3 linked regions of the Callithrix jacchus genome follow. Each later gene encodes a partner of the first gene's protein in a complex. Links are inferred from orthologs where the notes say so. Each region holds a gene or a part of one and is shown in the gene's direction. Other genes may lie near its edges. The genes, in order: ITPR1, CNN1 and PRKG1.

The links.
Region 2: ITPR1 (region 1) and CNN1 share a complex: the UniProt entries of both Homo sapiens proteins name them as parts of the cGMP kinase signaling complex. The link is inferred for Callithrix jacchus from reciprocal best matches to the Homo sapiens genes ITPR1 and CNN1.
Region 3: ITPR1 (region 1) and PRKG1 share a complex: the UniProt entries of both Homo sapiens proteins name them as parts of the cGMP kinase signaling complex. The link is inferred for Callithrix jacchus from reciprocal best matches to the Homo sapiens genes ITPR1 and PRKG1.

Annotation. Positions count from the first base shown.
Region 1 is NC_133516.1:61,630,671-61,634,934, forward strand, and holds the start of ITPR1 (inositol 1,4,5-trisphosphate-gated calcium channel ITPR1), read left to right. Parts: upstream 1-1,296; 5' UTR 1,297-1,557; intron 1,558-2,388; 5' UTR 2,389-2,464; intron 2,465-4,264. UniProt on the Homo sapiens protein: Inositol 1,4,5-trisphosphate-gated calcium channel that, upon inositol 1,4,5-trisphosphate binding, mediates calcium release from the endoplasmic reticulum (ER).
Region 2 is NC_133523.1:10,686,938-10,690,730, forward strand, and holds part of CNN1 (calponin-1), read left to right. Parts: intron 1-857; coding exon 858-924; intron 925-1,012; coding exon 1,013-1,150; intron 1,151-1,611; coding exon 1,612-1,722; intron 1,723-3,088; coding exon 3,089-3,235; intron 3,236-3,315; coding exon 3,316-3,561; 3' UTR 3,562-3,793. UniProt on the Homo sapiens protein: Thin filament-associated protein that is implicated in the regulation and modulation of smooth muscle contraction. It is capable of binding to actin, calmodulin and tropomyosin. The interaction of calponin with actin inhibits the actomyosin Mg-ATPase activity.
Region 3 is NC_133513.1:77,911,373-77,915,165, reverse strand, and holds part of PRKG1 (cGMP-dependent protein kinase 1), read left to right. Parts: intron 1-3,171; coding exon 3,172-3,294; intron 3,295-3,377; coding exon 3,378-3,440; intron 3,441-3,793. UniProt on the Homo sapiens protein: Serine/threonine protein kinase that acts as a key mediator of the nitric oxide (NO)/cGMP signaling pathway. GMP binding activates PRKG1, which phosphorylates serines and threonines on many cellular proteins.

The DNA of each region.
Region 1 (4,264 bases):
ATCCAGGCTGTACCGCTTAACTCGAGGGGTCACTTGGGAAGTTACCTGATTTCTCTGAGCCCTGGATTGTGCACCTGCGAAACAGGTATGATAAATATACCTACAGTTGGTGAAACTCAATAGCATGACGCATGAAAACTGCATGGATCTGGGCTCAGTAAAATCAGCCTCTCCATTGAATATTATCATTATTATTACCGTATAACAGATCTTTAGGCGGCGTCAGGAAGTGCCTGTCTGGGATGCTATGGTGCGCCTGGCACCCAGTAAACACTCAGGAAACGTTTGGGGAATGAATATACGTCATTTGAGGCAAGAGAGGGCAGTCGGCTGACTGCTTCTGGGCTTAGCTCTTCCCCAACTTGAGCAGCTCGTAGCGGAGCCAGGCACTACTTGGCAGCGGGTGAAACCCACCTCGCCCTAGTCGGAGCTGCAGGAGAGCGCCCCGCCTGGACGCGCATCTCAGTAGAAGCGGCACTCTCCCGAGCCCTTATTTTTCTTGTTTGCGGTTTATTTACCTAAGCATTTACAGCACCCAGGAGCAGAGGGGCTGCTAGAGGTCGCAGATCGTATTTATTTTCTGCCTTCCAGTTTCAGAGCCGGCAAGTCACAACACGGCTCCTTAATTTGCGCACCGGAGAGGTTGGCGTTTCTTTACCTCCTGAGGGGCGACCAAAGACACAGGCAGCTCGGGCTCAAAAAAGTGCTCTCACGCGACTTGCCTGTCTCCGCTTGCGTGGACCGTCGCTCCCAGGCTTGGTTTTTCGTGCAAACCCGAGCAGGGCGGAGCAGATTAAATAAAGACAACCTCGCGCCTTTAATCCCTGACCGCAAACACTGGCGTTTTTGTGCCCCGGATTTCTGAAATTCTTGGCTCGGGGACCCAAGGCAGGAGGAGGGTGGGTAACCGCTTGTAAAAACTTCCCAAAGCAGAAATCCGAGCGCCTCGCCCCTCCCCGGCCCCAGTGACACCTGGATTCCAGGGAAGAGGGGCAACCGGAGGAGAGGCGTCCCCAAGGGTTGGGGGCACTTCCCAGGGGCGGCTTTATGGGGGGGGGGTAGCGCCAAGCCCTACCGACCTCAGTCTGCGAGACTGCTCAGCAGCATGAACGCCCCGTAGGACGTCCCTCCCCGGTCCCCGCGCGCGTCTATTTAGGGCCCAGTCCCGGCGCCCAGGAGGTTCTGGGACTTGTAGTCCCTCCCCTCAGCCTCAGGCGCCGCCGCAACCCGGGACTCGGACTACATTGCCCAGGGAGCTTTCCGGCCTATATAAGCCGCCGGGAGCCGCTTCAAAGTGCAGTAACCATGTGGATGTGCTGCTGAAGTGTTTCCTTAAGCTTGCTGGGGTGGGAGGAGAGGAGGAGGAGGAGGAGGTGGTGGTGGAGGAGGAGGCAGGGGGTGGAGAGAGAGAAAGCGCAAGCCGAGAGGAGGTGTGGGTGTTCCGCTTCCATCCTAACGGAACGAGCTGCCTCTTCGCGGACATGGGATTACCCAGCGGCTGCTAACCCCTCTCCTCGCCCTGCTGCCCCAAACCGGCGTGGCTCCCCGGGCACCAAGGTAGCGGCTGGGGCCGGGCAGAGGGCGCGGGGAGTTGGCACTGGCTCCCTGGGCGCAGAAGTTTTTGCCCCGCTTTCTGGGAGATCTTGATGGATGTGCATGCACTTGGCATGCATTTGGGGGGTTCCTTTACTGCGGGCAGTTTTTAGGGGGAGCTCATTTGAGGCTTAAAAAGCCTTAAATATCCTCGACTCTAGTGCATAGTGTTGGGGGCTCCCCATTCCGGACTGGTATGGCATTCCCCCAAGTTGGAAACTGTTGCCGCAGCTGCAGGAAATAGTTTTTTTCTTTTTTTGAAGAGAGAGGTTGTGGGGGTGTCATATGTAAGTCTGCTCAAGGAAATAATCTTTCTAAAAATGTAGCCCTCTCTTGCACTGCATGGTTGGGAGAATAATGCATGTGTGGGGAGCCCCCGTGGGGAGGGTTTTTAAAAATGGAAGAAAACCGGGGAAGCAGTGAGGGCTGAAGTGTGGACGAAGCTCACGTCCAGTGAGGATGCAGGCTTCGGATACTTGGCCACCTCGCCGGGAAACAAGTGCTTTGGGATTTGCCAAACATTTCCCTTAGTTCCAGCCTCCCGCAAGTTCGGAGTTTGTGCGTGCCTAGTCTCACTTGTCAGTTACATCCTGGAAATGAGCGTAGATACCTGTATTCTTCTCCCAAGCGATCCCACCAAACCTGCCTGCCAAGTTTGGGGAGGCTCTGCTCCAGACTTGGGTCTCTCCAGGGGAGGAGGCTAAAGAAGGTGGAAACTTGTAATTTAGAACATTTCTGTTAGAGACCCATCTTCCGCGGTCTGTTACTCAGTCTTCTTTCTTTCTAAATATTTAGGAGCTGACTGCAGAGGAGCAGGATTTGCACCCCTCGCTGGGCTTGTTTTGGCAACAGAGTGCCTGACCCGGGTCAGGTGAGTGTGGAAGCCTGAGTGCTGTAGTCAATAATGAGTTTTTGTCCTACGTCTATTTTAAGTTCTATCTAAACAGCCAAGGAAGTGGGAAGTAAGAAAAAGAAACTCCGTTGCTCAGTCGTCAAAATTTGCCTCTGCCTTTGGTGAGGGCTTTAAAGAGCAGAGGTCCAGTGGACAGTCCGTTTCTTGGACGTAAGCACAGAATTGAAGGAGCCTGAAGGTTTATGAGGGGGGCGGTGGGGAAAGGCCATTAAATGGAGCAATAAAACGGCGGCCCATTGCCGGGCTGTGCTGGTGATTTAAATTCTGAAGGATGCAGTGCGTTTCATATGCCAGGATGTGTAAGCAGTATTCACTGCCTCTCTCCTTCAGAAAATAGTTATTCTCTTCGAACTTTGAACCTGTGGCTTAATCAGAGTAGGTTGGACTCCAAGAAATGAAAGTGGTTGCTGCAAGTTGAAAGAATTAGAACTTAAAAAAGGGAAGTTAGTTGTTGAAGCTTAAGATAGTAACATTCAGCCCTTGACTCAAGCCACCTGAATGTCAAGGAATCAGGCAGGTCCCTGTTGTCTTGGGGCCTGTAGTGGAATATGAGCTGAGAGCAGCATTTGTCTGTAAACACAACAGTTTCTATTTTTTCCCCAAAATGGTCAGACTGCATTTGAAGAGTGGGAGGTTTCAACGGGTGCACATACATCACGATTGCTACAGATTTGGCCATCAGAAGTTTTTTCCCCCCGAAATGTTCAGAAACATGGTAAATAACAGGGTAACAGAGGTGGGTGGGGTGGGTGGCTGGGTCTTAGTAACGTTTTTAACATTCTAAATATTTAGCTGTTCCCTGGGCTACAATCTTTGGACTTTTTAAATGAGAAAATAAAAGTCAGATGCTTCATTATAGTGGTGTAGTGCTTTTGTTTCCTGTTGATAAGATCCTCGGGAGTACTGGCGGAGTGAGAAGCATTTGGATGTGAGAACTCTAGTTTCTTATTGGAATTCTTTTATTGACTCACATGGCTATATGAGTGCTCACAGGGCCAAGTATTGGGTCTAGTTCCCCTCTTCAGAATTAGCTGTACAACAAGGAGAACCTGGCTCACAGATTCCTTTCTAACTGGTTGGTAAAAATAATAAGATGGTTACACATTAAGTACTCGTAAGCCAGGGTCAGAGCCGTATGTCTCGGAAACCCTTTGAGTGACATACAGGTGAAGAAACTGAGATGCAGAGAGTGAAATCACTTGTCCGGTAGCTAGTATAAAGTAGGAGCAAGGTATACATACCTTCAGGCAGTGAGGCTGTACTGCATCCCACAAATGGACCTAAGTTGATTTGGGGATGGGGAGTGGTGAGAGGGAAGCTAGGAAAAATGGAAAACTTACTGCTATTGATGAAATAACCTGCTTATATCCCACCAATGATGAAGTAATACTTAACACTGATGTAAGAAGGAAAGGATATAGCCACAAATATAGGGATAAAAGAGTGCAGATATTTGAGGAGGTATTAGATGTTGTAATGAGTTCACTTTGGAAAGCCTGAATGAGGAGAGTAAAAAGAAACAACACAAAACCACAAGAAACATTATGCAAGTTAAGTATTAGGCTCATCTCCCAGCTGAAATACATCTTGATTATTTATATCAAAGCATCTGAGTAGGTGAAAGGATCAGGCGTTTCCCCTTTTGAGTAATTCGAAAGTTTAAACTGTAGTGTGCAATGTGAAACGTTGCTACCTTTTCATATACCTTCCAGTTTGCTTTGCAGCCAGTCGTGCAGACATTTCTGTTTTCCATTTTTT
Region 2 (3,793 bases), on another chromosome or scaffold:
GGAGGCACTTAAAGTCAACAGACTGAATGAGGCCAGGCGCTGCAGCTCATGCCTGTAATCCCAGTATTTTGTGAGGCTGAGGCAAGAGGATCACTTGAGCCCAGGAGTTCCAGACAAGCTTAGGCAATACAGTGAAACCCCATCTTTACAAAAAAACAAAAGATAGCCAGGTGTGGTGGTGCACACTTATGATCCCAGCTACTTGGAAGGCTGAGATGGAAGGATCGTGGGAGCCTGGGAAGTTGAGGCTGCTGCAGTGAGCTGTGATTGTACCACTGCACTGTAGCCCGGGTGACAGAGCCAGACCCTGTACCAGAAAAATAAAAGACTGGACAAGATCATTAAAGGGGTCAGAGAAGAGGCCCCTGTGGGCTCCCTGCTGTCTACAAGAGAAAAGGATGCTGAGACACTGGAGGGTAACATGAATTGTTTAAAAAAAGGCCATTCTGGGCCAGGCACCATGGCTCAAGCCTCTAATCCTAGCACTTTGGGAGACCAAGGCAGGCATATCACTTCAGGTCAGGAGTTCAAAACCAGCCTGACCAACATGGTGAAACCAAATATCTACTAAAAATACAAAAAAATTAGCCAGGCAGCAAGGCTTGGGAAATCCTGGAGACTCAGACACACCTTGGATGAGGAGGCTTTTTGATTGGGACCTGAGTCTAGCTCCCTGCCCCATTTATATGTGTGCTTGGGTGGTTTGGAGGGGCTGTAGCTGAGAGCTGACGGCAGGGAGAAGTGACTGGGGCATGGCGTGGCCCCTTGTGGTCATCCTGACACCATCCTCCCTCACTGGGCTGGGCTGGGTAGGGAGTAGGGGGACACCTTTCTTAGCCCCTCCCCACTCTTCTCAGATTCATCAATAAGCTTCAGCCAGGCTCTGTGAAGAAGATCAATGAATCAACCCAAAACTGGCACCAGGTAAGCCCAGCCCCAATCTCTTCCATCCTTGCCCACACACCTCAGACCTCCACCAGCCCCCCAGTGACCATCGCCTGCCCCCCTCTAGCTGGAGAACATTGGCAACTTCATCAAGGCCATCACCAAGTATGGGGTGAAGCCCCATGACATCTTTGAGGCCAATGACCTGTTTGAGAACACCAACCATACACAGGTGCAGTCCACCCTCCTGGCCCTGGCCAGCATGGTGAGTGTGGGTGCAGGCTGGGCAGGGGGCAGTGGGCAGCCCGGGCTGGGATGCACGTATGGCCACTTGTGCCCCCGAGCTCAGTGTGGCCCAGGCGTGGTGGCTCACGCCTGTAATCCCAGCACTTTGGGAGGCCAAGGTGGGCAGATTGCTTGAGGTCGGGAGTTCAAGACCAGCCTGGCAACATGCTGAAACCCCATCTCTACTAAAAATACAGAAATGAGCTGGGCATGGTGGCACATGTCTGTAATCCCAGCTACTCAGGAGGATGAGGCAGGAGAATCGCTTGAACCCGGAAGGCAGAGGCTGCAGTGAGCCGAGATTGAGCCACTCCCTGCACTCTAGCCTGGGTGACAAAGCGAGACTCCATCTCATAAATAAATAAATAAATAACAGTGTCCATGGGGACCGTGCAGCAGGGCGGCCCCCTCGTCAGTCCCTGCTCTCCCTGCCCCACCCAGGCCAAGACGAAAGGAAACAAAGTGAATGTGGGGGTGAAGTATGCAGAGAAGCAGGAGCGGAAATTTGAGCCAGAGAAGCTAAGAGAAGGACGGAACATCATCGGGCTGCAGGTACATCCCTATCCTCTCCACGCAGAGGTCAAGGAGGCCAGGAAGGCAGGGTGTCTGCAGGCTTTTGGGGACGAGATATTCAGCCTTAACTATACTATAGGCCAGGTACTGTCCTTATCCACATCTTCTATTCACAAACTCACTCACTTTGCCAACACCCCTAGCAGAGAGATGTTGTTATCACTATGCTCATTCCATGAATGGGAAAACAGGCCCGGAGAAGCTGGCTCACTTTTGCCCAGATCTTCCAGCTGATGCGTGGCAGGCTGAGACTGGAATGCTGGAAGTCAGTCATGTGATAGACCTAGTCTGAGCCTCAGTTTCCAGTCTGGAAACAGTGCCTCAGGCAGGGTGCAATGGCTGACACCTGTAATTCCGGCACTTATGGAGGCTGAAGCAGGAGGACTGCCTGAGGTCAGGAGTTTCAGACCAGCCTGGGCAAAACAGAGAGATCCCGCCACTGCCATCTCTACAAAAAAATTTAAGAATTTAGCCAAATGTGTGGTGGCTGAAGTGAAAGCATCACTTGAGCCCCAGGAGTTCAAGGTTATAATGAGCTATGACTGCATCATTGCACTCCAGCCTGGGGGACAGAGTGAGACCCTGTCTCTGAAAAATAAAAATTGGCTGGGCAAAGTGGCTCATGCCTGTAATCCCAGCACTTTGGGAGGCCGAGGCGGGTGGATCAACTGAAGTCAGGAATTTGAGGCCAGCCTGGTCAACATAGTGCTACCCTGTCTCCGCCAAAAAGACAAAAATTAGCCAGGCATGGCAGCGAGCAACTGTAGTCCCAGCTACTTGGGAGGCTGAGGCAGGAGAATCACTTGAGCTTGGGAGGTGGAGGTTGCAGTGAGCCAAGATCATGCCACTGCATTCCAGCCTGGGCGACAGAATGAGACTCAAATAAAATTTTTAAAAAATTAAAGAAGAATAGAATAAAACAAAATAAAATGTAAAGATAAAATAAGGCTGGGCGTGGTGGCTAACACCTGTAATCCCAGCACTTTGGGAGGCCGAGGTGTGTGGCTCATGAGATCAGGAGTTCAAGACCATCCTGGCCAACATGGTGAAACCCCATCTCTACTAAAACTACAAAAATTAGTTGGGCGTGGGGGCACTGCCTGTAGCCCCAGCTACTTGGGGGGCTGAGGCAGGAGAATTGCTTGAACCAGGGAGTCGGAGGTTGCAGTGAGCTGAGATCACACCACTGTACTCCAGCCTGGGCAACAGAGCCAGACTCCTTCTCTAAATAAATAAAATAAAATAAAATAAAACATGAAAACAGTGTCTCATCCTCTCATATCAGCCACATCTCATGGCCCATGATGAGGTAATTCTTGGTGTGATTCTCCTTCTGGCTTTGTAGATGGGCACCAACAAGTTTGCCAGCCAGCAGGGCATGACGGCCTACGGTACCCGGCGCCACCTCTACGACCCCAAGCTGGGCACAGACCAGCCTCTGGACCAGGCGACCATCAGCCTGCAGATGGGCACCAACAAAGGAGCCAGCCAGGTGAGAGGGGCCCCCTGGGGCACACTGTCAAGGCCCAGGACCCGGGCTGCCCCATGGCCTGACCACACCACCCTTCGCAGGCCGGCATGACCGCACCAGGGACCAAGCGGCAGATCTTTGAGCCAGGGCTGGGCATGGAGCACTGCGACACGCTGAATGTCAGCCTGCAGATGGGCAGCAACAAGGGCGCCTCGCAGCGGGGCATGACAGTGTATGGGCTGCCTCGCCAGGTCTACGACCCCAAGTACTGCCTGACGCCCGAGTACCCTGAGCTGGGGGAGCCTGCCCACAACCACCACACACACAACTACTACAATTCCGCCTAGGGCCGCAGGCTTTCCCTGTCTTCCCCCGAGGGAGGCTGCTGCTGCTCTTGGCCGGACCCAGCCAGGCCCAGCCAACCCCCCAACTCCCTGCATGGCATCCTCCAGGCCCTGCAGAACTCAACCTCTACAGGGTTAGAGTTTGGGGAGAGCAGACTGGGGGGCCCATCGGGGGGAAGGGAACCCTCCACTCTGTAGTGCTACAGGGTCCAACCTAGAGCTGGGTGTCCCCAAC
Region 3 (3,793 bases), on another chromosome or scaffold:
TGTTTTTCTTATTTTAATCAGTTTGAGCTGATATTGCCCATTTAGGTCAACTGAAGGATTCAAAAGTAAAAGCAGCTAAAGAACACACAAGAAAATTAATCAAAGAAAATAGGAGAAAGTATTCAGATAAACTCTTGTCTCTAATTTCTTTGAAGCTATCAAAAGCATGATCTCCCTAAAAAGTAACCTTTAAGATATTTGCAAGTGTTAATAAATAAGAAGACAAGTAACTAGCAGAGCTAAGGACCACTACAGAACTGAAAGTCATGTTGAAAACAGAATAGTAACAATTAAATTCAGAAAACTGAATAGTAACAATTAAAAATCCAGCAAGGGAGATAGTAGATAGGCTTGGAAAAAATAATGGAAAAAGAAAAAAGATATAGATATGATTTCAGAAACAGAAGCTATTAGTCAAAGGAAATAGAAAAATACATGAATTATGTGTATGAATATAATATTACAAACAGGAGAAAAACATATTTAATTACATAATAGAAAATCCGTGGCATAAAGATTTGATTAAGTGTATCCTTTTGATCTGCAGTGACCAGGGGGAAACCGATTGAGAATAATAACACCACAGGGTGTCCATGTGGAATCTCCTAAATTCATTAATAAGGAATAGTCTTATTGGCATCAGTGCTATAAAAACTTGGCATGTGTGGTATTGAGAGTGAAGATAGTTAAAGTTCCAGTTGGCCTCAATCCTCTCTACAGCATCTATAATACCAAAAGATAGTATATCAAGAACTATATAGTTCTAAGGATCACAGAAAGTATAACTCAAGTAATTTATACTGAGGTAAGTTATTCTTCAAATACAAACACAATATGTAAAGTGTGGAACCCAGGCCTTTCTCAAAAACACTACTGTTTAATCAAGTCAACAAAAAGAGGAATCAAAATAAAGCATTCAGGAATAGAGAAACAAGTGAAAAGATTGATGGTGAAATTTGAGTCTAATTAATTGATACTTAGATCAAATAATTTAAATTTGGGTAATTGAACAGAATGTCAATGTTGTAGGCTTTGGCAATCTTAAAATAACACTAAAACCAGCAAAAATTAAGGTGGGAAGTGAAAGTAGGTACAACTACAGATATAGTTATTTCTCATTATTAATAATCAGTAATATTACATATATTCTGCAGTTAAAATGTGTCATTACAGAAGAGAAATTTCTAAATTCAGTCTGAATTTTTTTTTAATTTTAGAGAAATATTTTAGGAATTATTGGTTAAGGAGGATGTATTTGAAATTTAGCATTTCTTTCCATTTTACTCCTTAGTTTAAAGTAAACTTAAATTGAATATTTTTAATTTTAAAATATGCATAATATATTCTGTCTACAATCCACATAGAGAAATCTATGAAAATATGTTCATCAAACGTTGATTACTATGAATATTTTTTGGTGTTGAATGACTTTCTTCTAAATAATTTTGTTTTATATATTGAATGAATATTAGACTAACATGCATCACATAAAAACCACAAAAACCATCTTTAATAATTGATTTTAGTTGTCTAAGATAAGCAATTAAATATAAAAGCAAACATATAAATTAGAAAACATTACATTTATAACACAGAAACCCAAAGATGTGGGTCCTTCTCATTTTTTAAAGTAAAAATGAAAACTGGCATGTTAACTTAAGAGAATAAAGAGAATATTCAATCATAGGATCACATAAAGAGAAACTGTTTAAATTCTAAGACAATACTAAATAGATTTTCATGTTTATATATTTTTTAAGTGATGTAAAATTGATAGACAATTACTAGCTAATAACATATTAAAGTAAATAGAAAGCACTTTGCACAACAAATCAAGGCAGAATCCATCACAGCCCTTAGCACAGGTAAATCTGCTACTCCTTACTTTAAATAACTCATAAGCCTGCTTGATAAAAAGAAATCATTTGAACTGCTCTTAATAAACATGAACATGAAGGGCAAAAATATAATAATTCAGATTTCTCCCCCAAAGACACACAAAAACTGTATTAAAGAGAATAACTAATTTTCAAAGAAATCATTTGTCAAGGTGTACCATCATCTCCCTTCTAAACTGTGAGAAATATGAAGAAAAGACCTCACTTTAGTCATCTTTGTACTCACTGAAGTTGCCACAAACTACACTTCAAGGATGGATAGGTTAAAAAAAAATCAACAGATGTGCCTCATGAGGACTGAAGGGTTACATCCTTACCAACAAAGATAATGATTAGTGTTAAGTTATCTAATGAGGTCCTCTGTGCGGAGAGAAAATGATAGAAGGAGTACTATTCTACAGAAATATTAGATCAATAAATATTTACTGACCCCTTAGTATGTACGTGCTGTGAACACTACTCAACTCTGGGAATACCAGCAGAAAATAAACTATTCTGGAAGGGAAGACAGACATAACATAAATAACTACACAAATGAAAAGATAATTACAAAGTACAATAAGTGGCATAAGCGTGCTATGAAAGTGTAACAGGGACGAAAACTTTAAATTTGAGCATAAGATTAGATTGTTAGATTTTGTGGGTTGATAGAGGTTAATTGATTTTATTAGGTTGACCAGAGTAGGCCTTTTGGAGAAAACAACATAAAACTTACTTCACTGAGATTTGATAAAATGAGGCATTGGCCAGATATGTGGGGAGAACCTTTCAGGCCAGATAAATAACACCATGAGGTAGGAAAGCGCTGAGCATTTCAGTGGAACAGAGAGACACTGTTGTTTCTGGATCCAAGTGAGTGAGGGTGGTAATGGCATGAGGTGAGGGGGGGGGTAGTATCGTTGGTGTTCCTGTGGCCCCTCCTAATGACTTAGGACTTCATCTCAAGTATAATGAGTGAGTCAGTAAGTGTGGAAAAGGTCAGAGAGTGAAAGAAGCATCTTGAATGACCAAGGACAGCATGAGGGATTAGACTCCAGCAGTAAAAAGAAATCAGGGAACAGCAGATAAACTTGACCCATTTCTGGTTTTGCTAAGTGATTTACCTGGAAGGACTTCTACACTGTTTAGCTCTTAATCTACTTTCATTCCATTGTCACTATTAATGTAAGCCCCCAAATAAGAATTGATGTCATCGGTGGAGTTTATAGCAATTCAAGTGTTCTCATGTAGGAAATAAAAATAATAACTCTTGTCATGTCTCTCATTCTTGCAGCCCACCTTTCTCAGGCCCGGATCCTATGAAAACCTATAACATCATACTGAGGGGAATTGACATGATAGAATTTCCGAAGAAGATTGCCAAAAATGCTGCTAATTTAATTAAAAAACTATGCAGGTAAGTATCTCAACTACATTATCTTTGAAAAAAATCATAATGTGAAAAGATTAGATGTAATAAAACTATTATTTTATTTTTAGGGACAATCCATCAGAAAGATTAGGGAACTTGAAAAATGGAGTAAAAGACATTCAAAAGCACAAGTAAGTCTTCTTTCCTTATAACTTTAGGTTTCAGAGTTCCAAACACCTGACATCATTTTGCCAGGGTGTTACTTTTTAAGTTATTGGTGTAAAAACTAGTACAATTAGCATATAGGAACATCCAAAGACAGAATATAAACTTATTAGGCTTTTCCTTTCTAGTTGTTTCTGAAACTTAATTTTATTTACCTGACAACGCTGTGACATAAGAAACTGAATTCATTGAACTCAGTTTCTTGCAACTCATACCAACTAGCATTGTTTTTTCCTCTCTGGCACAAAGAAGAAATGTGTATTTTAAATTTGGAGATTCTATTCTCTACCACAGTATTACAAACAAAAGTCCCCTACTG